Tamandua tetradactyla: one gene and its partners. The protein of the gene in region 1 purifies or fractionates together with the protein of each later gene. This does not show direct contact. Links are inferred from orthologs where the notes say so. Each region holds a gene or a part of one and is shown in the gene's direction. Other genes may lie near its edges.

Evidence for each region.
Region 2: the proteins of SIKE1 (region 1) and STK24 purify together in Homo sapiens (affinity purification with mass spectrometry; 4 studies listed by BioGRID and IntAct, with this or other methods). This does not show direct contact. The link is inferred for Tamandua tetradactyla from reciprocal best matches to the Homo sapiens genes SIKE1 and STK24.
Region 3: the proteins of SIKE1 (region 1) and STRN4 purify together in Homo sapiens (affinity purification with mass spectrometry; 3 studies listed by BioGRID and IntAct, with this or other methods). This does not show direct contact. The link is inferred for Tamandua tetradactyla from reciprocal best matches to the Homo sapiens genes SIKE1 and STRN4.
Region 4: the proteins of SIKE1 (region 1) and STRIP2 purify together in Homo sapiens (affinity purification with mass spectrometry; 3 studies listed by BioGRID and IntAct, with this or other methods). This does not show direct contact. The link is inferred for Tamandua tetradactyla from reciprocal best matches to the Homo sapiens genes SIKE1 and STRIP2.

Annotation. Positions count from the first base shown.
Region 1 is NC_135337.1:6,543,831-6,551,922, forward strand, and holds the start of SIKE1 (suppressor of IKBKE 1), read left to right. Parts: upstream 1-4,695; 5' UTR 4,696-4,783; coding exon 4,784-4,942; intron 4,943-5,171; coding exon 5,172-5,277; intron 5,278-6,165; coding exon 6,166-6,308; intron 6,309-7,514; coding exon 7,515-7,628; intron 7,629-8,092.
Region 2 is NC_135330.1:167,460,473-167,468,315, reverse strand, and holds the start of STK24 (serine/threonine-protein kinase 24), read left to right. Parts: upstream 1-4,697; 5' UTR 4,698-5,085; coding exon 5,086-5,127; intron 5,128-7,843. UniProt on the Homo sapiens protein: Serine/threonine-protein kinase that acts on both serine and threonine residues and promotes apoptosis in response to stress stimuli and caspase activation.
Region 3 is NC_135342.1:14,478,079-14,485,894, forward strand, and holds the start of STRN4 (striatin-4), read left to right. Parts: upstream 1-4,423; 5' UTR 4,424-4,440; coding exon 4,441-4,722; intron 4,723-4,789; exon of another isoform or gene 4,790-4,817; intron 4,818-6,520; exon of another isoform or gene 6,521-7,816. Other genes in the region: ribitol 5-phosphate transferase FKRP, read right to left, coding at 978-1,118, 3,085-3,146, 3,569-3,600. UniProt on the Homo sapiens protein: Calmodulin-binding scaffolding protein which is the center of the striatin-interacting phosphatase and kinase (STRIPAK) complexes.
Region 4 is NC_135327.1:170,910,734-170,918,554, forward strand, and holds the start of STRIP2 (striatin-interacting protein 2), read left to right. Parts: upstream 1-4,323; 5' UTR 4,324-4,370; coding exon 4,371-4,517; intron 4,518-7,821. UniProt on the Homo sapiens protein: Plays a role in the regulation of cell morphology and cytoskeletal organization. Required in the control of cell shape. Calmodulin-binding scaffolding protein which is the center of the striatin-interacting phosphatase and kinase (STRIPAK) complexes.

The DNA of each region.
Region 1 (8,092 bases):
CCTGTTATGAAGTGAACCATTTACAGCCTTAATCCAGGTTGTATTGAAGACTCAGGAACCTTTGGGGTCAGCTTGGTACTTCACTTTGCCTCTTAAATCAATCTGTACACTATACCACACTGGGATTCATAATCTACTTAGCTCCATGTTTCTGCTGACAACTCCATAATTAAATATCAAATGTTACATTTACAAGTAATATCTCTAATTTATGTTTCCTAATCAATTTGGTGGTATCTCTTTCCATGCTTTTTACAGCCCCAGGAAAGGAGGAAGAGAATATCTGGGAAGTATCCAGGACTGAAAGGAAGTGGAAAGAAAGTGTTTGTCCTTTTTGTCTGTGTGGATTGGGAGAAAAGGCAAATGAAAAATCTTCTCACAATTGAAAGATTGTGAGAAGACACAAGCGCATATAGGTCTGACCCCCTTCTCTGACTTAAAGTCCTAGATTGAAGTCCAAAGTAGAATTGTGTTTTGTCACGCTTCCCATTTGGGGCTGTAGGAAGTACAGATGTATTATTTTTTATTTTTTTCTAGTAAAATTTGTATTATTGTATTATATATTATTTATCATTTCTTTTTTCTTGTAAAATTTGAACTCCTCAGTGCTGCTTTCTCTTATAATGCTGAATAATGAAATTCCAGATTTCTAGACTTCTAAATGCAGGTCTTCTTTATTAAAAAATACTTGTTTTGGTGGTGTGAAGCTGTATGTACCCCAGAAAAACATGTGCTTTGATCTAATCTATTCCTATGGAGGCAAACGCATTGTAAGTAGGACCTTTTGATGTGATTACTTCAGTTAAGGTGTAACCCAGCCCAATCAGGATAGGTCATGACCCTATTACTAGAGTCCTTTATATGCAGAATGAAATTCAGACAGAAATAGAAATCTACAGGGCAGTAGAAGAACTGAAGTTCAGTGGAACTCGGAAGAACTGTTAAATAATTAGACCATACTGAGTTTATCAGACTCAACCAAAAGCTGGGTTTTTCCCCATAGCTCCTAGTAGGATGGGAATGGGGGCTTGCCAGAAAATACAGATTACTTATAGAAAACAAATAAGCTAGAATGTCTTTGCATATCTTGTTTAGTAAAAGTAAATCTGCACATGTCTACTTACATATCAAAATTTGGTAGCATACTCATGAAAAATTTGGGGCACACCAGATAAGTACCAACAGATTGAATGAAGAAATGTTTAAAAAATAAACAAATAACCAATTCATTAAAAGACAGGCACAGCTACTGCACTTATTCTACCATTGTTAATCGGAGTTTGGGGTTGGACTGAACTGCTCCTTCCACTCTTTCCAAGAAGTAGCTTCAAGGTCCTGCAACTAGCCCAGTAGGAGGTAATTTTGGTTTCATAAGTAGGACCACCCATTGTGCTACAGATGGAATACCCAAAATGCCTGCTATTGGATTCTCTCCTATTAATTTGAATGAGACTAAATTATTTGTTTAAGAAATCCATCATAGGTTTTGTTTGTTTTTAACCTCTATGCATGTAGGAGAAGAGAGTAGAACCTCTTTTGGTTTCACTTTTTAAATGGCCAAAGGGCAAGAAAGAGATAATAGAGAGAAATGGAACCAAAAAATAGGGGCCATGTGGGATATCAGATCATAGTAGAAATAAGCCAGAAAAATCAAAGATCTTGGGTAATTTGTGTGGTTTCCACAAACAATATTAAAAGTATCTGGGCTTGTAAACCTCAATCAATAAACAAGCAGGGGTGAACCTACTATAGTTAATATAAAGAGTTTGAAGTTTGCAACAGAAGTTGCAATTACTATTCTTCAAATTGATGATCTTATTAAATTATACCTAGAAAGTAAAGATGATAAACATAGAAGTTAAGAAAATGTTGTTCATTCAGGAGCCCTTGATGACTGATGTGATTTCTTTTATTCATAACAATGTTAGGTGTAATTGTCTTATATACACATTAAAATACAACAAGCAGTCAAAAAAATAAAGTACCCAAGCTTAACTTATTGGTTTATTGGTGGGTGGGCTGTGGAAGACTGAAAATGGCTCAAAGGTTAAAACTTTCAACTTCATGCTGCCACATCTTGAAGCTTATTCATATTTGTACCTATTCTTTTCCCCTCCAATTATGGAGAATGAAATGTCCCTCATTCTGTTCAAATCCAGCTGCTTCACCTGTATTCCTGATCTGGAATCCCATTGTTTTATTCAATATTCAGCAAGTGTTTAACTACCCTGTCCCATCTCCTCCTGGTCCTTGCTCCTTCCATTGTCTCCCTACTCTCTTGTATCACTTTCCCTAATGGCTCCTTCCCCTACAAAGCCTAAAAACATGCTCAAGACTTTCTCGTAAAAACAAAAACAGGAATAAAAATGCACCCTATTGCTGCATTCTTTTTTACCCACTAATTGAATCATGGTTCAGACTACCAATCACAAGGGTCCAGTTTGGTGAGGGAAGGAAAATTAGACCATTAGAAGAGGCTGATAGGTAGGATGATGGTTAATTTCATGTGTCAACTTGGCTAAGTTATGGTGTCCAGTTGTTTGGTCAAGTAAACACTGGCCTGATTGTTACTTTAAGGGATTTTGAAGATGGATTTAGATTATTGGTTAGTTGATTGCGTCAATAGCTGATTACATCCACAATCAACAAAGGAGATTCTCTTCAGTAATGAGATAAGTCTCTTCATCCAATAAGTTGGAGGCCTTAAAGTAAGAACTGAGGATTTCAGAAGTCAGAAAGAAGAATTTCTATCTCTGCTTCAGCTACCCCGTTTCTCCTGGGGAATTCAACTTCATAGTCACCAAGTTTCCAACTTGCAGCCTGCCCTTCAGAATTCAGACTTCTCAATTTCCATGGTCACATGAGCAGTTCCTCAATTTTCTTAATATTTTATATCTATATATCCTGTCAGGTGTATTTCTCTGTAGAACTCTGATTAATGCAGGTAGAGTGAATATGGATAGATTCAGAAACTGAAGAGCTGGATGAAGTAAATGAAATGGTAGTGGGAGATAAGGTTGCAAGAACTGGACAGACAGAAAAGCTATAGTCAAAGAGTTAATCATTAAACCCTAAAATTTCTACACAGGACAATTCTTGGAAAATGATCCAGAATGTGGCCACATTAAGCCAAAATAAACATCTCTACAAATCAGAAGATCAAGAAAAGACACAGCATTAGATGAGTTGTCCACATGGACATGGATGTCACTCACATGAGAGCAAAATATGGCATAATTAAAAAGACCATAAGCCAACTCCTAAAATCTTCTAGGAATAAAGAAGAATACCCAAGATAGAAGGTCAGTAATTAACAACAGAGAGGAGCGACAGAAGATTCTTCATCTGTGGGATATAAACATCAAATAAAGAGATTTTACACAACATGAGAGAATAAGTGCTTAGAAGTATCATTCAGGAAGTAAAACTACCAGTCTAGTTGTCAACCCTAAAGTGGATAGGACATAGAATAATTATCCTCCACTGTAAGAAGTAGCAGAGGTTGTGGTGTCGGTTAGGGAGAGCTATCAGAGTAGATGACCTGAGGTTGGGAAAAGACCAGATGGAAGACCATCCTTAGACCTGGGTGAGAAAAGATGATGGCCTGAACCACCCAGGAGTAATGAGAATGCAAAGAAGCAAATATGTCCTAAAGATACAAAGGAGATACACTGCCTTTGAAACAGATTAAATATGAAGAGTAAGTAAGTGGGAAGAATGAAGGATAACGTCCAGGATTCTGTTTTTGGGGAAATGATGCATGAATGTGCTCTACTGAAATGATGGCCAAGCAAATTTGGAGGCAAAGATAATCAGATCACTTCTAGTACATGCTGAATTTGTGATGCCTGTAGGTTGTCCCTGTGGAATAATCCAGTTCATGAAAGAGATTTGTGCTACAGAGATGGATTTGAGAACCATTTGAAGTCAAAGCCAAACGCATGAAAAGAGATCAGTTAGGGAACGTCTTTTTGTTTTAATGAATGAACGAAATCTCTGCATTTTGTTGTTTTAATGAATGAATGAAATCTCTGCAGAGTGCATTAATTGTCTTCCTGTTGGTCAGTGACCCTGATTTGTTATTTCTGTTGAGCTTGTTCCCCATGTTCCCTTCAACAAACAATGTGGCAGCTGCTGTGAACACAAAGACCAAAAGCCCAGTTCCTTTCCCCCTGCTTCTCTGACCTCTAGCACTCTGACACTCCTTCATCAGACTCCTTCATCATCCTGTCACTGCCTTAAAATATTCATTAGAGTATAAATTCTTTCTCTCATTAGAAAATAATCTCCCTAAGGGCAGAGACCTTGTGTCTTATTCCCTGCTGCATTTCCAGGACAAAACAGTGTCTGGACCAGAAAAGGCTCTCCAAAAATAGTTATTAATGAATGAAAAAGAACAAAGACATACAAGCTTGACAAGGAAAACTCTTATTAACCAATGTAACAATACAAAAGTCATTGTTGTTTTGGCTAAATTTACTTTCAACTTATTAACTGAATTGAAACAGAATATACATATATATGGAGAAAAACCGGAGCCGCTCAGCCACAATTCAATCAGGCCACCGAGCTGAGAGAACAGGAAATCAAGGGCGTGGCTCCGCTCAGGGCGGAGTTTCCGAGAAGCCGCAGGCTGAAACCGGTCCGGGCGCGGACAACGCCAGTGCGCAGACGCCTGCGAAACGTGCCCGGAAGTGACGCCTCAAGGCAGAAAGTGCTTCCGGCAACAACTGAGCGAATCGCGTTGGTGAGCAGGGCCTGATACGCGGGTCGTGCAGCCGCTATGAGCTGCACGATCGAGAAGATCCTGACAGATGCCAAAACGCTGCTGGAGAGGCTGCGGGAGCACGATGCGGCCGCCGAATCGCTGGTGGATCAGTCGGCGGCGCTGCACCGGCGGGTGGCAGCTATGCGGGAGGCTGGGACAGCGCTTCCGGACCAGGTCAGGCAGAGGATGGGAGTCATGTCCTCGGGTTCTGGACACTTGAGGGTGGAGGGCTAGGAAAAGTGGGAACCCGGCGTGGAATTTGTTCCCCTTCTCAGGAGGGTGGGAGAAAGACTTCTCTGGAGTCGGGGCTGAGAATACTCTCCCGGTCCTCTGACGCCTGCCTCTTCCTTCAGTCGCATCTGCCCCTGTTTTCGGCGCACTTAGTCTGTCTGTCTCTGTCCAGTGTCAAGAGGATGCATCCGATATGAAGGACGTGTCCAAATACAAACCACACGTTCTGCTGTCCCAAGAGAACACACAGATTAGAGACTTGCAACAGGAAAACAGAGGTTAGTCGGACCTTTTTGTGTAGTTATGACTTTTTCATATCCAGCAACGGTTCAAAAGTTTTTGCAGAACTGTCTTAACTGTTCACAAAAGTGCATATCCTATATGTATTTCCAGGTCGATACCTTTAATAGAAGAGTTACCCCGTGTGCAGGCCCAGTAACAATAAAGTTTGTTAGATTAAATTTTTCGAGGTCATCTGACTGATTTTGTATGTACACACAGCTCAGCAAAGAGATGCCTAATAGAATTGAAATATTGCATGATTTTTTTAGACACCCCGGACGGAGGCTTGCCTGACGAAAGAGTTACCATCAAGGACTTAAAATTTAAGATTTAAATATCAATTGAATATACATTAATATTAAAATTGAAATTTTTTATCTTGTGCAAAGTGGAAGAAAAAATTTTATCTTCACTTATGTATTTTTGGACTTAATGAGTACATTATTAACGATAGTAATATTAATAGTGTGTCTATCAGTTTACAGAGTGCTTTAACCTATATCATATTGTGTTCTTATGTCTTCATTTTGAGGTTGGCAAGCCAGGTGTTTATTATTAGAAGATTGCACATAATAAATAGGCTCAGATCTTAAATGGTTTGCCTGAGATTATTAAACTAATTAGTCATGGAACTGAACTCAAACCTATGTCTTTTGATTCCACATCCTGTATTTCTTCTATTAAATGATGCTGTCTGCCTAGGAAGTTATTTTTCACATAGACCTTAGCTGTTCAGTTTTGTGGACTTAATCATTGATTTACAGCTTTGGATTCACATTATTTTACAGATTGTCATAAAATTATGGAAAATTCCACCTGTTAACAGATTGGCTTTGGGAACTATCACTGGGTCTTCACTGCCAAATTATTTTACTTTTTGATAGAGCTATGGGTTTCCTTGGAGGAACACCAAGATGCCTTGGAACTCATCATGAGCAAGTACCGGAAACAGATGTTACAGTTAATGGTTGCTAAGAAAGCAGTGGATGCTGAACCAGTCCTCAAAGCTCACCAGTCCCACTCTGCAGTAAGAAACTTTGATGAGTAAATTCTAAATGAACTGAACTGAAATCTAGAAATTGTTTTAAATTTGGGGCTTGTTTTAGAAGAAAATGTAGTCTTGTTTTCCACTAATGTTCATCACATCCACTGTTTATTTTGCTATGGCCTTGAAAAGATGAATGAAAAGAAGGGGATAAAGGGGCAAGGCAACTTAGATCCTTTATTTGAGTGGGGTGAAGGTTCCCCTACCCCAAGATCTCCTATCAAGGTGTTAATGAATGCTTAGCTCTTCCACCACAGTGCCATTTAGCATTGAGGGTGCTCAGTAAACACTTGGTTGAATATCTCTCCAAACTGTAAGCTCCTTGATTGTAAGGAATATGAATTATGAATTCATCTTTTACCTCTAGCATAATACCTTGCACACAACAGGCAGTCATAAACCTTTTTTAAACTGAACTACATAGCATCATACAAGGTTGTTACAAGGCAGTAGTGTTGTCTTAAAAAAATATATGTAACATAGTTTCTAGACTTAGAATACTTATGATTTAATTAGAGAGACTCAGTAATTGTTCTTATATTTGTAGAGTGTTTTATAATTATCATAGTATATTCACATATACTAGATTATTTAATCTTGGCTTAATAGATTGGAGCTCCACTGTTTGTTACAGTGCAATTTAGTAAAAGTTAAGTTTCATCTTAGATTCCACTGAAAACATTTTACTGACTTTTAAAAGTCTCAGGAAATGGGAATAGCCTATTTAAATATATGAATGTCTTCCATATGGAAAAGGAAAATAAATTGTCTCTGATCTGGAGGAGAAAACTAGGACCAATTCATTGAGACTTGAATGAGACAGAGTTTAGCTGATATAGAAAAGCTATCTAAGAAAGATGTCCAAAGATGGAAAATGGCACCCTGGAATGTGGTAAGTTTCCCATCAATAAGTGTTCAAATTTAGATTAAACAGCTTTTTCTAACATCCAAAGGGTGGTGAGACTAGAATTGATCTTTTGAAAACAAAAATTGTTTTTGAACATCGTAAGGCTACTTCATTATGGCTTTATCTCCAAGGACTCAGATTATAGTGAAATAGCAATATAACTCCTATAGCATAGATTAAATGAACTTTTAAAAATCATAATGCACCCTTGCCCATCATGATCTTCATATCTATAGAAAAGGTTATTTTTTCACCTATTTTTTTTCTTAATATCTTCACAGGAAATTGAGAGTCAGATTGACAGAATCTGTGAAATGGGAGAAGTGATGAGGAAAGCTGTTCAGGTAGATGATGACCAGTTTTGTAAGATTCAGGAAAAACTAGCCCAATTAGAGGTAAGATTGTTGCTCCTTTAGCTTCACAATATTTCAGGGAGTTTTCATGGAGTCTGGAAGGTATGTCAGCACTATCATGTCACTGCAATGTATTGCTGTTTTTTGTGTACTCAGGATTTAAAATTAAAACTTCTCTTAAGAAAGGAAATCAGTCAGCAGCATATAATGAAAATACCAATAACAATTAGCCAGAAGTTGAGGTGTCCTATTGGGAGGGTAGAGAGAGGAGTTGGAGACAGGTACATGTGAGCTGAAATCCCTCATCTGCCATAATAAGTCAGTAGATAATATCTAAAATTGATGATCAAGAACTAGCAGGACAGACGTATTATTTAGAATTATGGAAGTAAATACCAAAAGAAATAGAAAAAAGTTTTAAAAGTGGTTGCCTTTGGGGAACAAAGCCAAGGGACTGCTGTTAATTATATAAGCCTTATAGTTCTTAATATTTTAAAAGCTGTTTA
Region 2 (7,843 bases), on another chromosome or scaffold:
TTATGAAACTTACAGGTGAAGACAGATGTTTAAGAAACTAAATGTATAAGAAAATATTAAGAATAAAAAAACTTTTTATTCAACAGCATTTGGCATATGCTATCATATTGCAATTTCACTTCAAAACTTTTAATATAAATGTTCGTTGTAGGAAGTAAAGACAAGAAAAGAGAAAAAGATCACCTTTAATTCCAGGAATAACTGTTAAATCTTTTTGTCAATCTTGCTAAGGGCCCATCAATCTTATTGATTTTCTCATAGAACCAACTTCTGGTCTTATTGATTTTCTCTATTGTTTTCAATTTCATTTATTTCTGCTCTAATCTTTGTTATTTCTTTCCTTTTGCTTGCTTTGGGGTTAGTTTGCTGTTCTTTCTCCAGTTCTTCCAAGTGGACAGTTAATTCCTGCATTTTTGCCTTTTCTTCTTTTCTGATATAGGCATTTAGGGCAATAAATTTCCCTCTTAGCACTGCCTTTGCTGCGTCCCATAAGTTTTGATATGTTGTGTTTTCATTTTCATTCGCCTCAAGGTATTTGCTAATTTCTCTAGCAATTTCTTCTTTGACCCAGTCGTTGTTTAGGAGTGTGTTGTTGAGCCTCCACGTATTTGTGAATTTTCTGGCACTCCGCCTATTATTGATTTCCAACTTCATTCCTTTATGATCCGAGAAAGTGTTGTGTATGATTTCAATCTTTTTAAATTTGTTAAGACTTGCTTTGTGACCCAGCATATGGTCTATCCTTGAGAATGATCCATGAGCACTTGAGAAAAAGGTGTATCCTGCTGTTGTGGGATGTAATGTCCTATAAATGTCTGTTAAGGCTAGCTCATTTATAGTAATATTCAGATTCTCTATTTCTTTATTGATCCTCTGTCTAGATGTTCTGTTCATTGATGAGAGTGGTGAATTGAAGTCTCCAACTATTATGGTATAAGAGTCTATTTCCCTTTTCAGTGTTTGCAGTGTATTCCTCACGTATTTTGGGGCATTCTGGTTCGGTGCATAAATATTTATGATTGTTATGTCTTCTTGTTTAATTGTTCCTTTTATTAGTATATAGTGTCCTTCTTTGTCTCTTTTAACTGTTTTACATTTGAAGTCTAATTTGTTGGATATTAGTATAGCCACTCCTGCTCTTTTCTGGTTGTTATTTGCATGAAATATCTTTTCCCAACCTTTCACTTTCAACCTATGTTTATCTTTGGGTCTAAGATGTGTTTCCTGTAGACAGCATATAGAAGGATCCTGTTTTTCAATCCATTCTGCCAATCTATGTCTTTTGATTGGGGAATTCAGTCCATTAACATTTAGTGTTATTACTGTTTGGATAATATTTTCCTCTAACATTTTGCCTTTTGTATTATATATATATCATATCTGATTTTCCTTCTTTCTACACTTTACTCCATACCTCTCTCTTCTGTCTTTTCGTATCTGACTCTAGTGCTCCCTTTAGTATTTCTTGCAGAGCTGGTCTCTTGGTCACAAATTCTCTCAGTGACTTTTTGTCTGAGAATGTTTTAATTTCTCCCTCATTTTTGAAGGGCAATTTTGCTGGATATAGGAGTCTTTGTTGACAGTTTTTCTCTTTTAGTAATTTAAATATACCATCCCACTGTCTTCTAGCTTCCATGGTTTCTGCTGAGAAATCTACACATAGTCTTATTGGGTTTCCCTTGTATGTGATGGATTGTTTTTCTCTTGCTGCTTTCAAGATCCTCTCTTTCTCTTTGACCTCTGACATTCTAACTAGTAAGTGTCTTGGAGAACGCCTATTTGGGTCTAATCTCTTTGGGGTGCGCTGCACTTCTTGGATCTGTAATTTTAGGTCTTTCATAAGAGTTGGGAAATTTTCAGTGATAATTTCTTCCATTAGTTTTTCTCCTCCTTTTCCCTTCTCTTCTCCTTCTGGGACACCCACAACACGTATATTTGTGCGGCTCATATTGTCCTTGAGTTCCCTGATACCCTGTTCAAATTTTTCCATTCTTTTCCCGATAGTTTCTGTTTCTTTTTGGAATTCAGATGTTCCATTCTCCAAATCACTAATTCTATCTTCTGTCTCTTTAAATCTATCATTGTAGGTATCCATTGTTTTTTCCATCTTTTCTACTTTATCCCTCACTTCCATAAGTTCTGTGATAACTGTTAAATCTTGATGTTATACTTTCCAAATGTTTTCTAGTTACAAACACACACACACATACACGAAGTAGCCTGAGATTAGACTATACATATTGTTTTGTGTATTTTCTTTATATATAATGAAAATATTTTCCATATTACTAAATATTGTCAAACATTTTTAATGAATATATAATATCCCACTGTATGAAATACTATCATTTAACAATCTGTTAGACTTTCAAGCTAGTCCTACTTTTCTTGCTATTATAAATATCATTGATTCTTTTTTTGCACAGGCAGGCACCGGGAATCGAACCTGGGTCTCTGGCAAGGCAGCGAGAACTCTGCCTGCTGAGCCACTGCGGCCCACCCTGAACTGAGTATTTTTTTTTTTTATTAATAAAAAAAAATTAACTAACACAACATTTAGAAATCATTCCATTCTACATATGCAATCAGTAATTCTTAATATCATCACATAGATGTATGATCATCATTTCTTAGTACATTTGCATCGATTTAGAAAAAGAAATAGCAAGACAACAGAAAAAAATAAAATGATAATATAGAGAAAAAAATAAAAATACAAAATACAAAAAATATATATATATATAAAAACTATAGCTCAGATGCAGCTTCATTCAGTGTTTTAACATAATTACATTACAATTAGGTAGTATTGTGCTGTCCATTTTTGAGCTTTGGTATCCGGTCCTGTTGCACAGTCTGTATCCCTTCAGCTCCAATTACGCATTATCTTACCCTATTTCTAACTCCTGATGGTACTCTGAACTGAGTTTTTAATATACATTCGTGCGCACTTCTTAGTTATCTCCTTAGGAGATGTTCCTGTTGGTAAGATTCCTAGATTGAAGAGTATGAACAAATTTAAGATTCACGTTCTTACCCATTTTGCCATTCATCTCTTTCTATACCTGTTTTTCCAGTATAGTAAATTTACACAAGATTGTAGTCTCCTGGGTATTAGGGTTCTAGCTTTGCTTAACCTTGTATTTCCCACATTGTCTTCAGAGTACTTAAGGAAGCAGGGCTGGAGGTACAACGAAGCATACTAGTGACCACGGTGAAGGTATCTGAACGTGTATCAAAGAATCCGGAAGAAAAGTATGTATATTTCCAAAAGGTAGGCGGGGATGAAGTTTTAGCGTCCCACGCCCTGTCTGATCCAGAGAACGCGAGAAAACTGAAGTCCTTGGAGTACAGTGACACCTCAGAGACTCAACACTCCTTACCACAGGAGAGGACTTGCGTATTTAGGGTCTATTCCAACAGCCTGTGAACTCTTGGGAGCTCATTAGCATGCCCAACCTCGCACAGTGAAGTCTCAAAACGGGGGCACTCACGGCTGTCAGGGAAGTGCAGGGTCCCTGAGACCTGCGGTGCAGTAATTCTGAATGACGCGCAGATCCTTTCAGTGGCTGCCACTCTAAGCATTGCAAATGAAATGCTTTTTGGAGGCAGCACTGACTCATTCCATCCTTATTTTTCCAATGTAATTGGGGTGGAGGCGGCTAAAAGGTGGAGGCAGAACTGGCGCTCAGTAGGCCTGAGACTTTCACAGGCAGTCGAAAGACAGGAGCTAGCGGTGTGTGTGTGTGTGTGTGTGTGTGTGTGTGTGTGTGTGTGCGCGTGTGTGTAAATGTCTAGACACGGTTTCCTTCCAGGGATTGTCTTCTCTTCCTCCTTGCCCCTCCCCATCCTATTTTTCCCTTCTCGTAGGCAGACGCTCCCGCCTTGGTCCAGAGCCCAGGGAATGTGGGGTTCAACCTCCTCACTTCTTCGCTAAATTCACAGCGCCTAGAATCCCAAAACGAGCTGTTTTCAGTAGTGAAATCACCAGGAATTACCGGCTCTCTTGGCCTCTCCCTTCTCGGTTTCCTCCTTGGGTTGTTGAAGTTTCACCCAGACACCGAAGAAGCTCCGCCCTCGAATTTTTTAATAGGTCACAGGCTGAGGCCCCTCGGGTCACTCTCCCAATCTAAGTTTCCCCTGACCCAAACCCTGCCCTCGGGGAGGTCGGCGGAGACCCATTTCCCCGGGGCCAGATGAAGAGGAGGAGGGCTTCGAGGGCCGGACGAAGATGGTGGAGTAAGAGTTGTTGCAAACCACTCCCTCGCGGCACAGGCTCTCCTTTGCGCGGGATCGGGTCTCCGGCCGGTGGCGGTGGGCACGTGGCCAATCCCCGGTTCCGAACTCCGTCGCCTCCTCCCCACGCCCAGCGCCCGCCCCAAGTGAGGCTCCCTCGGCTCCCAGCACCCGCCTTCCCTTCCTCTTCCCCTCCCTGCCGACTAGGAAGGGGTAGTGGCGGGGGAAGAGCCCTCGGAAAGGTTCGGGCCGCCGGCCCACCTCCAGCCAATCGGCTGGGCCCGGGCAGCACCCGACCCCGGTAGGCGGCGACTCTCGCGGCTGCGGACTAAGGCGCCCGGGCGGCCGCCGAGCCTCCTCCCCCTCCCGGAAACGCGGGGCGGGGTCCCAGGCCGGGCCTCGGGGGCGGGCGCGGGGGCCGGGCCGGGGCGGGCCGCGCAGCTGCAGCCGGGCGGGGCGCACTCGGGGCTGGCGGGCTCGGCGGGTTGTGCTCCCGGACTCCCGCTCCCAGGCCGCCAGCGCAAGCGGGCCGAGGCCGCCCCGGCTCCAGCCAAGCAGCAGCTGCAACTCGCGGCGACGCTCCGCGCCCCACGCGCCTCCGCGCAGCCCCTCCCCGGCACCGTGCATGGAGACGCTGCCCGCCGCCCGCCGCTGAGCCCCGCCGCTCGGACCGGGATCTGCCGGGGCAGAGGGTGGGCTCGGGATCCGGCCGGCCCCGACGAAGCTGGACTCGGGCTTCCCCGGTAGCCTCCGTCGCTCGAGGTCTGCGTGCGGGCAGCGGGCCTGGTCGCCCGCACCGACCGCTTCGGCCCTGCCGTCCCGTCCCAGGAAGTGACCGTCCTGACCGCCATGGCTCACTCCCCAGTGCAGTCGGGCCTGCCCGGTATGCAGGTAGGTACGAGCCCCGGGCAGCGGGAGGGGCGGGATGCGGGGGCTCGGGCGGAAGCGGGCAACTTGGCGGTGTAAACACAGCCCCCCCCCCCCCCCCCACGCTCACCCTTCCGGGGTCGCGCGCCGGAGCCTCCCTCGCTGTGTTCCCCGCTGCTCCGCGCGCGCGGCCCGGGGCTGGGGAAAGAGCCCTCGGAGCGCACACGCGCCCCGGCCCGCTCGGGCGGCTGGGACTGGGCGCCAGGCGGGGTCCTCCCCTCCCATCCCGGGCGCCCTTGCCCCTCGCCGCAGCCTGCCTCTTGGCGTGGGGGGAAGGGCCGTAGGGACCGCGGCCTGGGTCTGGCCGGGGGTCCACGGTGGAGGCGGCCTTCGCCGGCCGGAGTCGCGGTTGTTAGGGAAGAATGTGGCGGAACCGGCCTTGGGTCGCCTTCCCGGTTTCCCTCTCCCCCCATCACCTTCCTGAGCTCCGGGCAGGCGTCGGCCGCATCCCCAGGGAGAGCCGATGCCAAGAAATGCCCTGGGAGGCCCCAGCTTAGTCCCTGGGCCCTGTATGCGGGCCTGGGGCGGAAGGGCCCCTCAAGGCTCCCGACCCCCGCCCGCCCGCCTCCCCCTCTCTTCTGGGTCTTCTGCCTTCTCTGGAGGGCGGGAGGTAAACTTAAGAACTGGGAGGCGAGCCGAGAGCGCGCGCGGACTGGTCCTGGCCCGCGGCGGCCCAGCCCGGGTGGAAGGAGCGAGGGCGGGTGTCGAGGAAGGTGTAACTGCTAGTTCCACCTCTAGTAGATTTGTTCCGAGCGTTTTGTTCTGAGGGAAGAGTGCGAGCTGGTAAACCTCCAGGAAGAAGAAACGGTACAGCGTGCACTCGGGCGACCCAATCCAGGCTTTTCCTACCTGATGCCGGGATACCGGACTTTTCCTTTAAGGCTTTACTGGGCTTAGAGTAGTTGTTTCCCAAGAAGTGTCTCCGTGGGTACTTTGTGGCATCATGGCCTACCACTGACTTTTATTGGGGGGATTGAGTTTCAAATCTGTACTAATTCATTAAAGTTTTTCACTGTTAGCCTTTTGGAAAAAAGAAAACCACTCTCCTTCGCTAACTTGTAATTTTTGTAAATGCACAAATGGTGGTAGCAAAACTATTAGGATTAAAATCAGTTAGGATATGTCTAAAGTTTTGCTCTCTCAAGCAAGTGAACATAAGAGCTTTAAGAATAACCAGAAGTATCCAAGTGGATTATTATCATGTAGATATCAGTGGAGTAATTTTCTCTTCTCTTCTCCTTGCGGGTTGAAAAGCCCAGTGTAGACAGACCTCTTCTATTATGAGCCAGGCATCTTCCCCCCCTCCCCAAAGAGACTTTTTTTTTAAAACATTAAACAAAACAAAACAAAAAAGACTGGGTTTCATCGTTGAGGTTTCAATTCTAGAAAAATAGGAACTCAAAGTTACTACTTTAGTGGCGGCTGTAATTTTAGACCGACTTTTTTTTTTTTTTAAAAGGAGTAACAGTTAATGTTTTGTTTTAAGCCTGTGACTAGGAAGATGCTTGAAGAAAGTCTGTCCTTGAATCTCATTTAAAGTTCTTTTATTGTATTTAAAACGTAATGCTGTGCTTATTTTTGCTTTGTAAAAATCAGATGGGATTTTTTTTTTAATTTTAGCAGTTTTATTTAAGTAGAATTTACATGCAATAAAAGTCACCCATTATAAGTGTATTGTTCAATAAGTTTTCGCAAATATATATGTATATATATATTTAGTCATATAACTACTACCATGAGATTCAGGGATTTTTGAAGCAGGACTCAGGCAAGGGGAGCTGCTGGAAACTGGTTTGGCCTTGACTAAGAAGGACCTTTTTTTCCTCTGGGAATGGGGTAAGGATGATATAAATGTATATAAATACTCATTGAGGGTGGGGTGGAGTAGGATATGGCATTGAAAGCATTCCTAATGTTATCAGATGGGATTTTGAACATAAAGCTCTGCTTGGTTTTTATTTGGAGACAGAATGAAGTTGGTGAGAAAAAAGTTTCTTACCAGTAAAACAAGAAGGACCTCCTGTAATGCTTTAAAAAATACATTTTATGAATATTTCCTCTAGACTGACTTTTATATTGTGTTAATCAGTTTGTAATCTAGCACAAATGCCTCACTTAGAATTCACCTTTGTGGAAAGTGAGTCGGTGTGAAAAGGTATTTAAAGCTCCAGTGACCTGCACTAAGAAGTCTGTATCAGATGGTCACTCTTTGGTATCTGGTCTCAGTGGTTTGTTTGTCTGTTTTGCCCTCTTTTTTTTTTTTTTTAAGGGAGTGGGCCAAAATTTGAAAATCTTGGGAAAAGACAGTAGATTTCCTTTAATCACCTTGCCTCCAAAATAAAGTGTATTTCCTAGGTGGTATTACAAGGGAACTTTTTTACTTTGCTTTCTCAGTGAAAGAGCTTATAAATTTTTCTTAGCAAGAAAGCTGACCAGGTTTTCAGCAGTTACAGTTTTAGAAAATGGCTTTATGTCACAGTCATTTCTGTACTTAAATACCTCTATAAATCTTAGTATAACTGTTTTTGAGTGTGCCATTTGGGATAGAAAATTTCCTCTATTCACACTTATCCCCCAAAAGATAAAGAACAGGCGCGTTTGTTTGCAATTTTGAATTAGGAGCTGCTACAGCTCAGGGAGCCTTCCCTAAGAGTTGTTGAGGGTTAAATTAAAGGCACAC
Region 3 (7,816 bases), on another chromosome or scaffold:
CCCTGTCCCATCACCTTCCCTATGGCGACCTGAGGGATCTTCCTGAAGCACAAACCTGACCTGTCTCCCCCCTGCTCAGATCCTGCCCTGTGCCCTGGGAGAAAGTTTCAGCTTCTTACATCCCACCCACCCCTTCAGCCCCCTCTCCTGCCACGCCCCCTTCATGCTCTAAGCCTCAGCCACCTTGGACTTTTCTTTCCCCCAAACATGTCTTGTTTCTCGACCTTCGCAGATTCTGTTCCCTCGTATATAAAAGTCTTTTCTCATATGCCCCCTTCTTCCCATCCTCCTCCTGAAAAATTACTGAGGCTTCAAACCTTGGCTCAGAGGTCGCCCCTTGCTTCCCCATCCCAGCCCTGCCCACCCTCGGTTGTCGCTGTCTGGGGATGAATCTGTCTCCCCACTGGACTGTGAACCCCAGGAGGGTAGGGCTGGGAGTGTTTCAGCCACCACTGGGTCCCCAGCATGTGAGATTGCACTTGGTGGGAAAATGCTGGCCAGAGTCCGGGTTCCTTGTCTAAGGCCAAGGCAGCTCTATCCTAGCACCCACTCAGGTCCCAGGAGCCAAACTCTGACTTCATTGCCGTGTGCCGTGTGCCGGATCTGGTCTTCCTGCCTCCTCTCTCTCTCTTACCAGAAATGCCCTCCCACCTCTCTGCCCTTCCCAGTCCTGCTTGCCCTTCCTGGACCCAACTCAGATGGCGCTTGAAAACCCAAGTCACACTTGAAGAGCGATTCTCTAATTTTTATAACCTTGGCACTGCCTTCTGGATCTTAGATTGGTCCCACCTTCTTTCCTTCATCTCTTCAGCATGTATTTATTGAATTCCTACAACATGCCAGACACTGATCTAGGCACCGGGGAGACAGCAGTGGACGCACAAGGACAGCAGACCACATCCCAGCCCTCGTGGGAGTCACACTGTTGGGGAAGGAATCTTTGGAACCAGAGAACCTTCCGGGTCTTAGAATCTTACCATTTAGGTAGTTAGAAGCACAGAATGTCAGACCCTTAGTTTTAGAATCTTCATGTCCTTGAAGGTCACAGCAAGAGACCATCCTCCTGCTTCTGCCATGGTCCCCTACAGTCTGTTCACTGCTCTGTGCCCAGAGGGATCCTGTTAAAATCCGAGTGAGACCCTGTCCCTCCTTTGCTTAAACCTGTGGCTTAAGCCTCACCTGGAGGACAAACCAAGTCCTCCTCATGGCCCACAAGGCCCCGTCTGCTCTGCCCAGTCCCTCTCTGCTTTGCCCCCCACCACGCCTCACCAAACATCATTCTGCAGACATGATCAGATCACTCCTGTGGCAGTGCTGTCCCCTCCCAGGTATCCACATGGCTCCTCCCTCCTCCCAGGTATCCACATGGCTCCCACCTTCCCCCCAGGTATCCATGTGGCCCCCCATGTCCATGTGGCTCCTCCCTCCCCCCAGGTATCCACGTGGCTCCTCCCTCCCCCCAGGTATCCATGTGGCTCCTCCCTTCTCCTCAGGTATCCACGTGGCTCCCCCCTCCCAGGTATCCAACTGGCTCCTCCCTTCTCCTAGGTATCCATGTGGCTCCTCCCTCCCCCCAGGTATCCGCGTGGCTCCTCCCTGCCCCCAGGTATCCACGTGGCTCCTCCCTGCCCCCAGGTATCCACGTGGCTCCTCTCACAGCCTTCAGGTCTCTGCCAAAATGTCACCTGTCCAGGGAGCCTTTCATTTTAGCAGCCCTATTTAAACATTTATTAACCTCTTTCCACAGACTCCCTGTCCCCATCCCTCCTTTAATTTTTCCCCTCTAGTACTTCTCCCATAGACTTTACTTATCTATCTTGTTTACTTGCTGAGTCCCCACTGAAGGTGGAGATCTGTTTTCTCTGTTTTATTTCCTGGGCTCTCCCTAGCACAGAGCTCAGTAACTGGCATACAGTAGGTGCTCAATAAAATGTGGGTGGAATGAATGAAGTTCTTGAATTGTTAAGATGGGGAGACTGTGGCTCAAAGATGGGAAAGGATGCAGGGACCAGAACCCAGGTCTCTGCTGCCCAGGCTCTGTCTAGCTGACTCGGGCAGGAGTCACTGAGCAGGACCAAACCAGGTCCTCAGACTCTAGCTGGTTTGACACCCAGATAAAGAGGTGCTATCTACCAGTGAGGGGGTGAGGGGACCAGAGAGGACAAAGAAAGTCTTCTAGTTCCCTGACGAGGCTCGTCTTGGCCTCCCTAACTATAAGGGCTAAAACCCCTTCAATGGGGCCAGGCAGACATAATGACAATTTTGAAGGTCCAAATGTTTTCCATTTTCCTGAATCAGGGTGATGATAATACCAACAATTCTAGCAACTCACAATGTGCCAGACCCTCTTCTAAGCATTTTACACCTATTGACCCATTTAATCCTCACATTATGATTACATTGGAAGATGAGGAAACCAAGGCACAGAGGAGTGAAGTCACTTGCCTAAGGTCACACAGCTAGGAAGGAGAGGAGCCAGGATTTGACCCAAGGATGCTGGCTCCAGAAACTGTGATTTACACTAATAAACTCCACTGTCTTTCTTGGGTCCATGCAGGTAGCCCTGCCCTCAGTCTACCGTCAGTGTCCCTTTCCCAGCCCTAAGATGAGAGGTGGTTTCAAAACTGAATGTGGCACATTAATGAATTCAACTCATTAACTCTACAAACAGATATCTTTTCAGTGCCCTCTGTGCCAGGCACTGTGTTCTGGGGAAATGGAGTGAAGGAGGGAAGGAGACAGAAAAAAATCACACAATTACATATGGGGGCAGGAAACCTGCAAGAGGCTGTGATAGAGAAAAACTAGGGGGTTGCTTTAGAAAAGGCAGTCAAGGAAGGAAAGGCGAGTTAAGCTGAGACATCTGTCTCTCCACCCCCCACAGAGCAACATGAGTGGATCTAGACTTGCTTTGGGACTGGGTTCACCAGGCCTGAGCTCTGCACTGACCTGAGCCTCAGTTGTTGCTTCTGTAGAATGGGAGTGTGAGGGGTAGAGAAAGAAAGAGGCGCATGGGAAAGCCTTTGGGGACGAGGAAAGGACAGTTTCCATGTAAAGTGCTGGTGACACTGAGGGACTTCTTACCTACTAGGCTGCTGGCTGGGGGGACTCCAGGGGGGCAGTTACTGCCCGATTCAGCTGCACTGCTGTGGGAAGAACCAGAAAATCCCAAATCAGCCAATCTGCAGAACAGTGCACAGCTTCATTTTTACCTACAAGAGGTGACTAGAGCGTCAGGAAATCCTTTCTCTGGAAACCCCATAAGCTCAGGCATAACCTGGCGGGTCTCGGGAAGGGGATAGAGTGGGATGGGTAGGATGTCAGTAACCATAACAACCTGTAATGTGCCTCCACTGCTCCCCACCGCCCCCCATAATGTGTTCAGAAAGGTGGAACTGAAAGGTATGGAAGCTGTTACCATGCCGATGCCTTCCCTAGACACATTCCACCTAGAGAGACAATCCTAAATGTCCCCTACCTTGGTGGGCCTGGTTCCCAGGATCACCGGAAGGGGCTGCCCTTCCCCCATTACCAGAGTAACCAAGACTTGGCCTTGCTTGTTTCTCACCTCCCAGGAGATGGTCCAGGCCCTGTATCCATAGTAACTGTCCTTCAGAGCGTCTTCTCTAAATAAAAACACCTGGCTGGGTTTGGCCACTGGGCCTCCCACGATGGGAAGTGGGGGGAGATGGTTACCATGGTAATGCCAACAGAGTGCACTATGCCGGGGGAGGGGAGCCTGGGGCTGGGGAAAAGAGATGCTTCTCAGTGATCAGTCTATTTGAGGCTGGGGTCCTTTTTACCTGAGTGCTAGGTGAGGAGGGTTGCCATAGTAATCGATGTGGTAGGAGTAGAAGAATCCACCAGGGACTTAGGTTACCTTAGCAACCTCCTCCAGGTGCAGGGCCCGGAGAGGTGTGGGGCTCTATAACCACAAAGGTGAAGGAGGGGCTCTAGGCTGGTAAGGGTTACTATGGCAACCGACCTGGGCCAGGAATCAGAGGATGGGGTCACTGCTGAAACCACCCCGGTAGTCGCCCTTTCTCTCCAAGAGTGAAAGTGATTTTCAAGGGGCGTGGTATTTGGGTCTGGACAGGGTAACAATCTTTCCTTCGGGCGAAGTAGGAAGAGGGGGGCAGCAAGCGGACCCTCCCAAAGTCTTCCCGCTCCGAGGGGCGAGCCGCACACCGGCCTTGGTCTCATTTGCCCTCTGCGGGGCGCGCGCCCCTTCTTTGCCCCGCCCCTTCCCTCCGCCCCCTCCCTGCGCGCGCCTAGGGGTCCACCCGGGTGGGCGAGGCTCGCGCCCGGCCTCTTCTCGCTCCCGGCCCCCCCGCCCCACGCCGGGCGCGCGCGCGGGAGGCGGGGGGGGGGGGGGGCGGTTGGCGCGGCCGCGCAGGCGCGCGAGGCACAGCGGGCGCGCGGGCCGGCCTCGGGGCCTCCATGATGGAGGAGCGAGCGGCCGCCGCGGTCGCCGCCGCCGCCTCCTCCTGCCGTCCCCTCGGCTCCGGTGCGGGTCCCGGCCCGACTGGAACGGCCCCGGCCGCTGCCCCTGCCCCCGGACCGGGCCCGGCAGGTAAGGGAGGCGGCGGCGGCAGCAGCCCTGGACCCACCGCGGGACCCGAGCCCCTGAGCCTGCCCGGGATCCTGCACTTTATCCAGCACGAGTGGGCACGCTTCGAAGCCGAGAAAGCCCGCTGGGAGGCCGAGCGCGCCGAGTTGCAGGTGAGTGCCGCCCCGGGACCCCCGACCCCCGCCCGGCCCGGCCCGGCCCGGCCCGGCCCGGCCTCACCCGCCGCCGCCGCCGCCGCCATCTTGGAGCAATGGCCGCCGGGACAGCCGGGGGGGCGGGAGGGGGCCGCGACCGGCTCGGAGACGGAGTGGGGGGCCGTCCGAGGAGGGTCCTGAGAGGGCCCGGCGGCGGGCTTGGGGGGGCCCGGGGCGTGAGAGCGGCCGGGCCGTACAGAGGAAGGGGGCGGGAGGACTCCAGAACCAGCGGCGTGTAGCAGTGAGCGGTGCACCGGCGGACGGGTCCTGAGGGGAGGGGACCCGGGGCGGGTGGGGAACCTAAGCGAACTCAGGAAAGGATCACGAGGGGAGTTGGAGGGGTCGGAGAAAAACCCGAGGGGTCTTGCATGGCAGTGAGCAGAAGACTGCAACGGACTCCCCCCACCCCCACTCCCGGACCAGCCGAGGGTCTGAGATGGGGCTTGATGGGCCCCGGGTGGGTGGGAGGGGACGTCGGAGCGGCTGAGCGAGTCCCAGCGGGGAACCGGGAGAAGAAGTCCTCGAGCCTGGGGATGGGGTGTGTTTCGGAGCGTTCGGACCGGCGAAACTGGAAGATCGCTGTGGCAGGACTTCTGAGGGATCCCAGGGTGAAGGTGTGTACCTCCTCCTACGGAGGGGAAATTTTGGGGATCCCTGGCATGTATGGCCACAGAGTGTGGGAAAGAGTCCTTGGGATGGAAGTGTGGCCAGGACAGAGGACGCACCCTAAAGAGCCTGTGGGGAAGTGCTTGAGAGCAGAGACTCCAGTTTGGGGGTGCGTGCGTGTGTGTGTGTGTGTGTGTGTGTGTGTGTGTGTGTGTGTGTGTGTTAGGGGGATGGCTGTGAGTTGGGAGGTGTGTGAAGGGTGTCAGGTAGAGGACCCTGAGCTGGAGTCGGGAGGTGGGAGTAGGAGGGGGAGGGGGGGAGGGGTATGCCTAACCGGAGAGAAGGGAATCTGGGATGGTGACAATGAGGAGGAATTTGGAAAGGCAGTAGAGGAGGAAGCATCTTAGAAGGATCCTGGGGGGAGATGCATTTGCGGATGTTTCTGGGAAAGGAACCCATCCATGGTTTGTGGAGTAGCTTGAGAGAAGGTTGTGCCCTAGAGTGATGTAGACAGGAGTCAGAACTTGAGCTGTGTTGCTATGACCTTGGCAAGTGTAGGATCCATTTGCAGAGACTCTCTGGAGGAGTCTAGGGATCAGAAATGAGAGAATTTGAAGGGATTCAGGGATGGGGCATGAGGAGTCTGAGGGTTCCTGGGCTCGAATATTACTGGCAGAAGTTGTCAGTACCAGCTTCTGGTAACCCCTCCTGATTTGATTTTTTCTATCTAGCTGATGTGGGGACCCAAATAAATAACTGAGTAGAATATTGTCTACAGGATATAGAAAGAAAGCCTCCTTTCCCAATTCAGGGTTATGAGATTGCATCCCACAATTCTCCCACCTACACCGGGGATTTTGGTTGTGTGAAAACTGAGGCTTGGGGCTGGAATAGGAGAGGAATAAAGCATTTCTCACTTTTGTGTCCCACGCTCTATTTCCAAAGCTCTTTCTTAGTTTACATCTCATCAGATCATCTCAACACCCCATGAGGTATCTATAACAGCACTTGCTGTTTACTGAACACTTGTTTTATGCCAGGCTGTGTGATAAACACTTTATGGACATGTTAGCGTTTAAATGTAACATTCTGAGAAAAGTGATTTTTGTCCCCCCCCCCTTTTTTTTTTTTAAAATAATCGGAAGAGAAAACCAGTGCTTTCAAAGGGTAAATTATGTATCTAGGATCACAGCCAGAAAGTGGTTTCAAACTCTTGCTCTATACCTCTCTGTCACTCAGTACGATGCGAAAACTGGCCCAGGGAAGCACAGCGACTTCCCCAGGGTTACCTAAGCAGTCACAGCAGAGCCTGGACTGAATCCCAGTCTCTTGGGCTCCATGCTAGAGCACCCCACAGCACCCACCACACCACTTTCTCATCTCGGAGACTAATGGGCAAATAGATGTGTATTTTATTCTCTCACTCAGAGACCCTTCATGGAGTTTGAGAGGAACTTGTGGGTAGCATTCAATTAGACTTTCTGACATCTAGGCTCTAGCATCACTTACTTTGTACTTAGATTTTGTTCTGTTACATAGTAGTAAGTATTCAAATATCTCAGATGTGTTGTGTGTGTGTGTGTGTGTATGTGTATGTGTATGTGTAAAGGGAGAGTCCCCTTTTCATTCTTCATCCCTTCCCTATTCCCTCCGCCTTTCTACCCTGTTATTGCTATGAAGGCAGTTCAGAGGATTTTTGTGTTTAATATATGAAATGAAACTGCATATATCATTTTGTGACTTTTTTCCACATACTTGTTTGTTTTGGTGTTCTTTTCCATATCAGATCAGAGAACTCTTCTTTATTTTTGATTACTACCTCCCATTCATTGATTATCACTGCAATAGTTTACTTGGTCCTTGTTGATGGACTTGTAGGTTGTTTCCAATTTTTCACCATCAGAAACGACTGCAGTGAATATCCTTATACTCCTGGGTGAGTGTAAAGAAGAGATGGAGATAGGGGTGTTTATATACTGCTGGTTGTTTCCCAAGTTGCCCTCCACCAGTTTATGCTCCCACCAGCAGTTCCTCTTTTTTACACACCTCTAGTAAAGCATTGATCACTTACCAAAGGTGTAACTTCTGTGAGAGCCTTTAAGGCCCAGATGGTGTCATGTGTTTCTGACTTACTGTGGATAGCTTCTTGGCATCTGTGAAAAAGGCTGTTCCTAACCCAGGGCCTCCTGTGCACTCAGTACTCGTGCTCAGTAAATGTGGGTTGAATGGCAGAAGAGGCAGTGCTCTGTGAGGGCCTGCCATGAGGCCCCCAAAGTTGGGAGCAGGGAGGTGTTGTAGAAGCAGGCTGGTAATAAGCAAGAATTTGCAAGGGAGTTGGAGTTGGGGGTTCCCACAGATAGGTGATGAGGTTTCTGTCCTTCAGGAACTTCCAGGCCAACTGGGAAGGCTGGTTTACACAGGGTGCTACAGAGAACTGTCCAAATTT
Region 4 (7,821 bases), on another chromosome or scaffold:
CAAGATCTTTTTTTTTAAATCTTATTAATTGAAATATTGTTTTCTTTTTCTCATTAAAAAAAATTGTATCTGATACAACTTTTCTTTGCCCTCCCACCTCCCCATCCTACCGTTCCATATGAGCACGGCTTCCCATGGCCATATACTCCTGCAAAGCTTTTCTGCTGCTTGGCTTTTCTCTGAACAGATCTGAAATTGCTGCTCCTGTGGTTTTCTGAAAATTAGCTTTGTCACAGTTTAAAAAAAAGAAATTAAAATGCATTGTCGCATTAAGCTTTTTTAACAGGAAAATTACGGAAAGAAAATAGGCAACACCAGCAAATTATATGTGGTCAAGTTCTGAACTATACATACATATATATGTATATCTCAAAAAATAATCATCTAATTCTTACTGTCATCTTATTGAAAGGAAATAAGACCTCTGAGGTATGTCATTTCTGAGAGGCTCTTGGAAATCTGTATGTCTGAGTGATTGTATTAGATCAGCAATAATGACTATGTAATCTCAAAGACAAATAAAATATTCCTAAAATGCATTCTTGTCTTGAGAGTATTCCTTACTTCTGTGATCTAGGAATTCCACAAAGATGGGAGTTGCCTCTGGGCAACACACTAGAGAGACTGTTGTGGGGTGAGGATGTGAAAAGGTGAGGCAGTTACAAATAAGTATGTTTGAATGTACTTAGTCTTGAGACCCTTATTCCATGGGATGGAGTCACTCCACTAATATACCTTATCCCCCTTACCTGGTGTGTGTGTAGAAAACCTGCTTTCTTAGAACCCTTATCATGTGCTGTGAAGTTGAGAAGTGTAGGCTTAAGGCAGGGATGCAAAAGCCTGGCTTTAAGTCCCCCAAGCCCAATGTGTGTTGCCCTTGGCTGAAGAACACAAGAAGTCAGTATCCCCACCGCTTGAGGCCAAAGGACCCTGACACCTAGGATCTGATTACATCCAACCAATAGGAAGAAAAAAGTGAATCAGGTAAAAGTTTATCTCTTTAAATTAGAGACATAGAAATTTGGGTGCTTTGGGTCCTTGTTTCAGGCTTGCTGCGCTAGTTTCTCAAAAGAGCTTGGGCTTTGAATTAGACTAACTTGGATTTGAAGTTGTATGACATGGCCAAATTATGTAACCATTTGGAGTCTCAGTTTTCTTGCCTTCAAAATGGATAGTGCTTATCTGCTAGGGCAAGGATTTAACTATCTGATTTATAAAAATGCTGTTTACAGAGCCTGGCACACATCATATACTGCATAAACATCAATTCCCTGCCTCAGTCTGGGGCCTACAGCATCCATTGCCTCATTATACCCACATGCGCCGTTCATGGGGGGAGGAGAATGTTTTATGCTTTTTCTATTAATCCTAGCTGCCATATATACTCACAAACTAGGTTCTTTAAGACTTCTTACACCCTGTTTTTAAGCTTTCTCAGTGCCAGGTATTGTCGCTTTAATCAAGTATATGACCTCCATGGGTTAAAGTGCTTATATGGAGCACTGGTGCTGTAACTATTTTTATCTCCAACCCTCTGTCAGGCTTAGAATACCTGAGTTTGGGGACAAGGGAAATTGGTAGGGTAGGCCCATCTGCTTTCAAAATAACAGTCCTGGATCCATCTCTAAGATGAAAGAACTTGTAGACTAGCCTCTGAGTAGTTCCCAAGTATGTTTATGAATGACTCTGTGATCAATGGTATTGATGATCGTCACTCCTTTGTTGAAAAATAAGCTAAAAAAAATTGAGTGTGTGCCAATTCCATGGTTTCAAAGTTTTCATTTAATATCTGGTTTCTTATTACTTCTTCCATGGGTTGTTTCTCGATGTCTTCCTCCTTATGACAACTCTGAAAGTCTGGGCCTATAATGAACAGGTAGATGTCTGATCTGTCTCCCATTCCACTGGGGTGTAGAAACGGTAATGGATTAAGGTCTTTCTTCATATCGATTCTTTACAATTTCCATAGAACCAATTTTTCAATTCCCTTTTCCAGGAGTGAAGCCAGATGGAGCTCTAGGTTCAACAATTAGCTTTAAATAGAGGCCAAAGGGGACTTGAGGGCTGTCTTCAATCTTATTCTCAATTGATGATCAGTCTCCTCCCTTTGTCCAAGATAGGCAGGAAAAGGAACAAAGCCTCAAAAGTGGTGACTCCCATCTATTACCTCTGCTGGGAATCCTGCTGGTTGGCTAGGCTCACAAAAGAGAATATGAAGTTCTGGGCCTGTCAATCCTAGAGCTCTGGCTGCTAGAAGGAAAGGTACTGGGAAGACGGAAGTGTAGAATGATTAATTCTTTGTATTAAGAAGCCCCCATTGGCTGTGCTGTGACAGGTTTATGACACTTAAGCAGTAATGAGCTAGGCATGGGTTATAAATTTTAAAGAAGAGCGTGAATTCTTAAGAGTTTAACAAATTATACCCACTAAAAAATTCCAAACTCAAATAGCTTAGGTCTTGAGCCAGGGACTTTCTTAAAAATTCATATTAGTTCAGTTCTGTTAAAAGAGTGGATCTTAACCCAGGAAGATTTTGTCCCTTCCCCAACCCCCTCCAGGGGACATGTGGCAAGGTCTGGAGACATTTTTGATTGTCACAACTCGGTGGTGGGGGGAACGGTGCTACTGGTATCTAGTGAATAGAGGCCAGTATTCTCCGAAACATTCTACAAGGCACAGAACAGTCCCTAACAGCAAAGTATAATCTAGCCCAAAATGTCAATAGTACGAAAGTTGAAAAACCCTCTGATAAACCTGTAAAAATGAGGCATACAAAAATGAGCAAGACTCTCAAGGAGCTTATATCCAGGTGGAGGGCAGAGTGGGAGAAGAAATGAAAACTGTGTGGGTACAGTAAGGAGACATTTGAGAGCAGGGAGAGAAGGGAACCCAGATAGATCCAAGGAGTGCAACACAACCTCCATCCCCCCTCCCCCCACCGACTCTGCCTTGATCTGTCATTTACTGACTAAACCAAGGGAAGAGTCGGGCAGAGACACATTTAAGAAGGGGACAAAGTTGTCCCTAAGATGTGGGAATAGGGGGTAATTCCTTTGGGCCACTTGTTTAGGGGATATTGTGGAAAATGTAAGGGTTTGGGATCATAGTTTCACACGAATGCTTCCAGGAGGGTCAAGAGGAAGGCTTCCTGGAGGAGGAGGTGGTGAGAACTAAATAGAATCTTTAAGGAAGAATTTATCAGTCAAGAGAACAGGAAGTTTCCTTTAGACAGAAAGAACAGCATATGCAGACACTGAGACGAGATAGAACACAACAGCTTGGAAACAGTGAGGGTTATTGAGTCCTGGTTTCCTCATAAATACAGTGGATTAGTGAAATCAACCCATCAGAGAGTATGATAACCTGGTCTCAGGAAAGTGATTACTGCAATGTCAGACCAGTGTCAGCTCAACCACCACCACCACACCACACCCAAATCCCTTCCTAAAGCTATCCTCATGTTGCTTGTTTGGGGACTTCTATTACCAACAACACAGACTGCCCTAGTTATTTACTATAAGCTGGTTTTTACATAAATTCCTGGGAGGGTAGACCACATAGCCTCATTTGCCTCAGGTAACACCGAAACTTTAGGAAGGATCTTAGAAAGGAAAGGACTGGGGAGCAGAGTGGGGGTGACAGCTTGCTCTCCAATATTTACTGCCTAGTTCACACCATGAAGAAGGCGCCCTACAAGAACAGAGAAAGCTGACCAGGGCATCCAACAATTTCGGTGACCTGAAAACGTCACCCCACCCTCCAACCCCTTATCTGCCAGCCAACCCTTCACTCCGGACGGGATGCGTTCGCTTCAGAAATCTCAGCTCCAGAGGGCGAAGTCCGAGTCCCTTGTTCTCTGGGGAGTCCCTCGCCACCCCTGGTGCCCTCCCTCCACTGCGACTGAAAGGGGATTTGGTAAGTGTGGAGGAGGTGTGGAGAGGGCAGAAGTCTGTGAAAATGGGGAAGCAGAGACAGCAGTGGAGCAAGAGGCGAAGACTACGGCTCCCCTCAAAATGTACCTGCTTGAGGCAGAATGAGGGTTGAAGGACACCTAGAGAGAAGCAGAGATAACTAAGGTTAAGACCCAGAACTCGCGAGGGGGTACCGTGAGCCAACCCAGGAGTCTTTGGCTACCAGCAACGCGGCACGACTTAAAAAATAAGATAAAATTTTTAAAAACCTTATATGTACCCCCTACCTGCTCCAAGTCCTGCTCGGAAAGGCCGAAGGGCCAATCGGGCCGCAGGGCGGGGCTGCGAGGAGCAGCCGTAGCCAATAGCTGCGGAGGGGGCGGGGCCGGGCTCCCGGCGCGCGGCTGCTGGGTCGCCCAGGGCAGAGGCAGCGGAGACACCGACTGGGATCCTAACCTCATGGAGGACCCAGCGGCCGCCGGGGCCGGGAGCCAGCCCGCCAATGGCAACGGCAACGGCAACGGCAACGGCAACGGCGGCGGCAAAGGGAAACCGGCGGCGCCTAAGGGCCGGGAAGCATTCAGAAACCAGCGGCGGGAGTCGGAGGTGAGGAGCCAGAACCTTGGCTGGGGCCGGGAGACGCCCGCGGGCTGGAAGCCGAGGCTGAGGTGGTTCCTCAGCGTCCCCTCCCCCGCCCGAGACCACGGCGTGTCCCGGGCCGCTCCTGGAGCCGGTGTCTCCAGAGTCCACTAGAGTTTGCACGCCTAGCGCTGCACCCCAACCCTTCACCGCAGGTCTCCCGCCGCGCACTGGGGGCTTTTTACCCCTCAGGCCTTTCCCGTGGAGGCGCAAAAATGTAGGGCGGTGTGGTGTGGTCCCGATGCTTTTCAAATATTATCTCATTTAATCGTTTCAGCCCCTTGTAGTAGGAGTTCGGGTCCCCATCCTGCAGAGGAGGAAACAGGCGCGGGGAGGTTAAGATACTGGCCTGAGGGTTGGAGGCCAGAGCTCAACCTCAGAAAAGCCTCTGAAATGAAGGGTCGGCGGGGTGGGGCAGCCCTCCCGCCCCAAGGCTACCTGTCGCGTGTCCCTGAGCCGATCCAGATTTGCGGTGTGTGCTCTGGTCTTCCCCTTCCATTTGTGTGTTATTTGGCCCTTTAGGGAGTGCCTTCCACAGCCTTGAGGAACCCTACCTTAGAAAGGACTTTGATAGGAGCAGTGAAAGAAGTGGATGTTTGGATAGAACTGTCCTAATATACAAACATAGCTAGGAGTATGAATGTTTGGGTCTCTTCCTTTTCTCCTAAAAAAGAAATCCTAACCAAGAGGATGAGAGGAGTGCATTCTGTTCAATCCCCCCACACCTCCAGCCTGCCAGTTTCCATCAAATAGCCTAGAATAGAATTGGATCTGAGCATGGATCAGAATAATAAAACCACAAAATGCCAGCTGTGGAAGGGTCTCTAGTCTAGCCCTCTCATTTTACACACATGAAAGAGACAGAAGTAACTTGCCAAAGATCATACGTACACCTGGCGTAGTGGCCAAGAGCACCAGCTTTGGGGTCGTTAGATGAGGATTTGAAGCCATGTTCAGTCCATGGCTTGCCATATGAATTGTATTTTTCAGTTTATAGAGTGATTTCAGGGATGCTTTTCATTGTGATAAAGGCAGAGTAGGAATCTTTCCAATTGTTTTAAAGATACAAGTGGAAGAAGTGAAGAGACTGACCCAAAGTCACACCACCTTTCAGAGGCAGAGCTAGGTTGAACCCTAATCCTTCTGCCTTGCTAGGTCAATGTTCCATCCACCACATCATCTGTCTCCCTGCCTCAGTAAGAACCTGGCCTCTTAGGGCACTCTGTGCCTTCCTCACACCACAGAGATATTTTTCTTATTCAGATGTGTTTTTTGGGTGGATGAGTCATTTATTAATTCAACAACTAGCTATTGTATCCTTTCTGTCAGGCATTGTTTTAAGTGCTAGGTATACATCAGTGAACAGGACTTTGCCCTTGTGGAGCTAATGTTCTAATGGGGAAAGTCAGATAATTTTTGCATGTAAATAAATAATCAAAATAATTTCGGAGTAATATGTGCTAAGAAGGGAATTAAAACAATCCCTGTCCAAAACTCCCTTCTGAAGGAGGAGGTCTGTTCCCCACTCTCAAGTCTTCCTTCAGCAAAATGGTCTCTGCATTCGGAGACTAAGACCTTTCCATCCTTCACCGCAGTTTACCTCCTAACTCTCTGCAACTGCACTTTTCTTTCCTGGAAACTAACAACTGCAGTGATCATCTCTATCTGGGCTCACTGCCTGCCAAAATACTAGCTGGAAAATTAGCTTGCTTCCACCTTCCTCTGCAGCAGGAGATCACTTTTACCCATCAGTACATTCCCTATCCCCCCAGCACCAGGTTCCAGACTCAAATGGCTAGCTCCTTTCCCCACCCTCTCTCCTTTTGCTTTCATGAAGCACAGTCCTCAGGGGAGATAGCTTTCCTTCCTCTCTTGGACTTAGAGAATGACTAGAAGAGAATTACTGTTGGAACAAATCAAGGGAGCATCCTTGAATATCACCTTGTTTATGTGGGCATCGTTGACTTCCCCTCTCTCAATAGCTTAATGTACGAACATCCCAACCTAAAAAGGAAGCTAGAGAATAATTGCTTGCCTAATGAAAAGATTCTTAACATAGCAAAGGGGTTCATCTCTTGCCTCTTTAAGCCAGATTCCCCTGGTCTCTTTATTCCCAATGTTCTTGACAAAATTTTAACTGGTCTGTGGCAAAATGAGGAGAATTCGGAGCAGGGAATCGAGTTTCTCATAAAATGCAGTTCAGTATATCTAATTTAAAGGGTGTATACAGTATATTTCATTTAAAAGCAGTGTTTTTCAAACTGGAGGGCAACCTGTGAGTTGGGACCAGCATTTTCTTTTTTAAGAAACAGAATTAAAAATATCAGAGTACATCACAAATATTAAGGGTAAAGATTATTTTGTTAAACTTTTGGTCCAGTTTTATATGTGTGTGTGTGTATGTGTGTGTGTGTGTGTTGGGACATTTGTAAGTGTGTTTGTACTTTTAATAGCTTTCTTCTGTTCTGAGATTATGTCCTTTCCAATTTTAGCATATTAAACTGTTCTTTCTTTTTTGAAGTGTTTTCTGAAAAAAGATTTGTAAGTCCCTACTTATTCAAACAAAATATCAATAACTCAGTGTCATTCCCACTATCAAACTTTCTGTTTTATAAAATTTCTACTGGAAATTTTTGGAAATCTTTGCTACAGTGGATTTAAACATGATTTGCCTTTTTGGCAGTGTAAATTGGTACAGTGTTTTTGAAAAACAGCTTATCATGTACAAAAAGCCATACAAATATTCATAGGATTAGATGCATTAATTCTTTTTATAAGAATCTATGATTAGAAAAGATCTTACATATGGAAACATTTACTAGTTCAACTTCATGCATATAATAATAAAAAAAATCTAAGTCTAAATATTCAACAATAGGGAACTGGTTAAGTAACCAATAGATGTCCATTAACTTTTATAAGCATTAAAGTGATGATCATAATTGTATGAGAAAATGTCCTTATAACATAAGATTGTAATTGTAAATAGAGTAAAAAGATAGTAGTTCACCACCTATAATAGTGTTACTAAGTGCTAGGTGGTATTTTAAGTGCTTTTCCTGTTTCAACTCATTTAGTCCATACAATAACTCGATAAAATAAGTCCTGTTGTTATTCCGTTTTACAGATGAGGAAACTGAAACACAGAGAGGTTAAATAACTTGCCTAAGATCACATAGCTAGTATGTAACAGAACCAAGATTCACAATTTAAAAAATTCATACCTAATAATAAATATTACTCCCAAATACTTTGAAAGGTATGGGGTAGG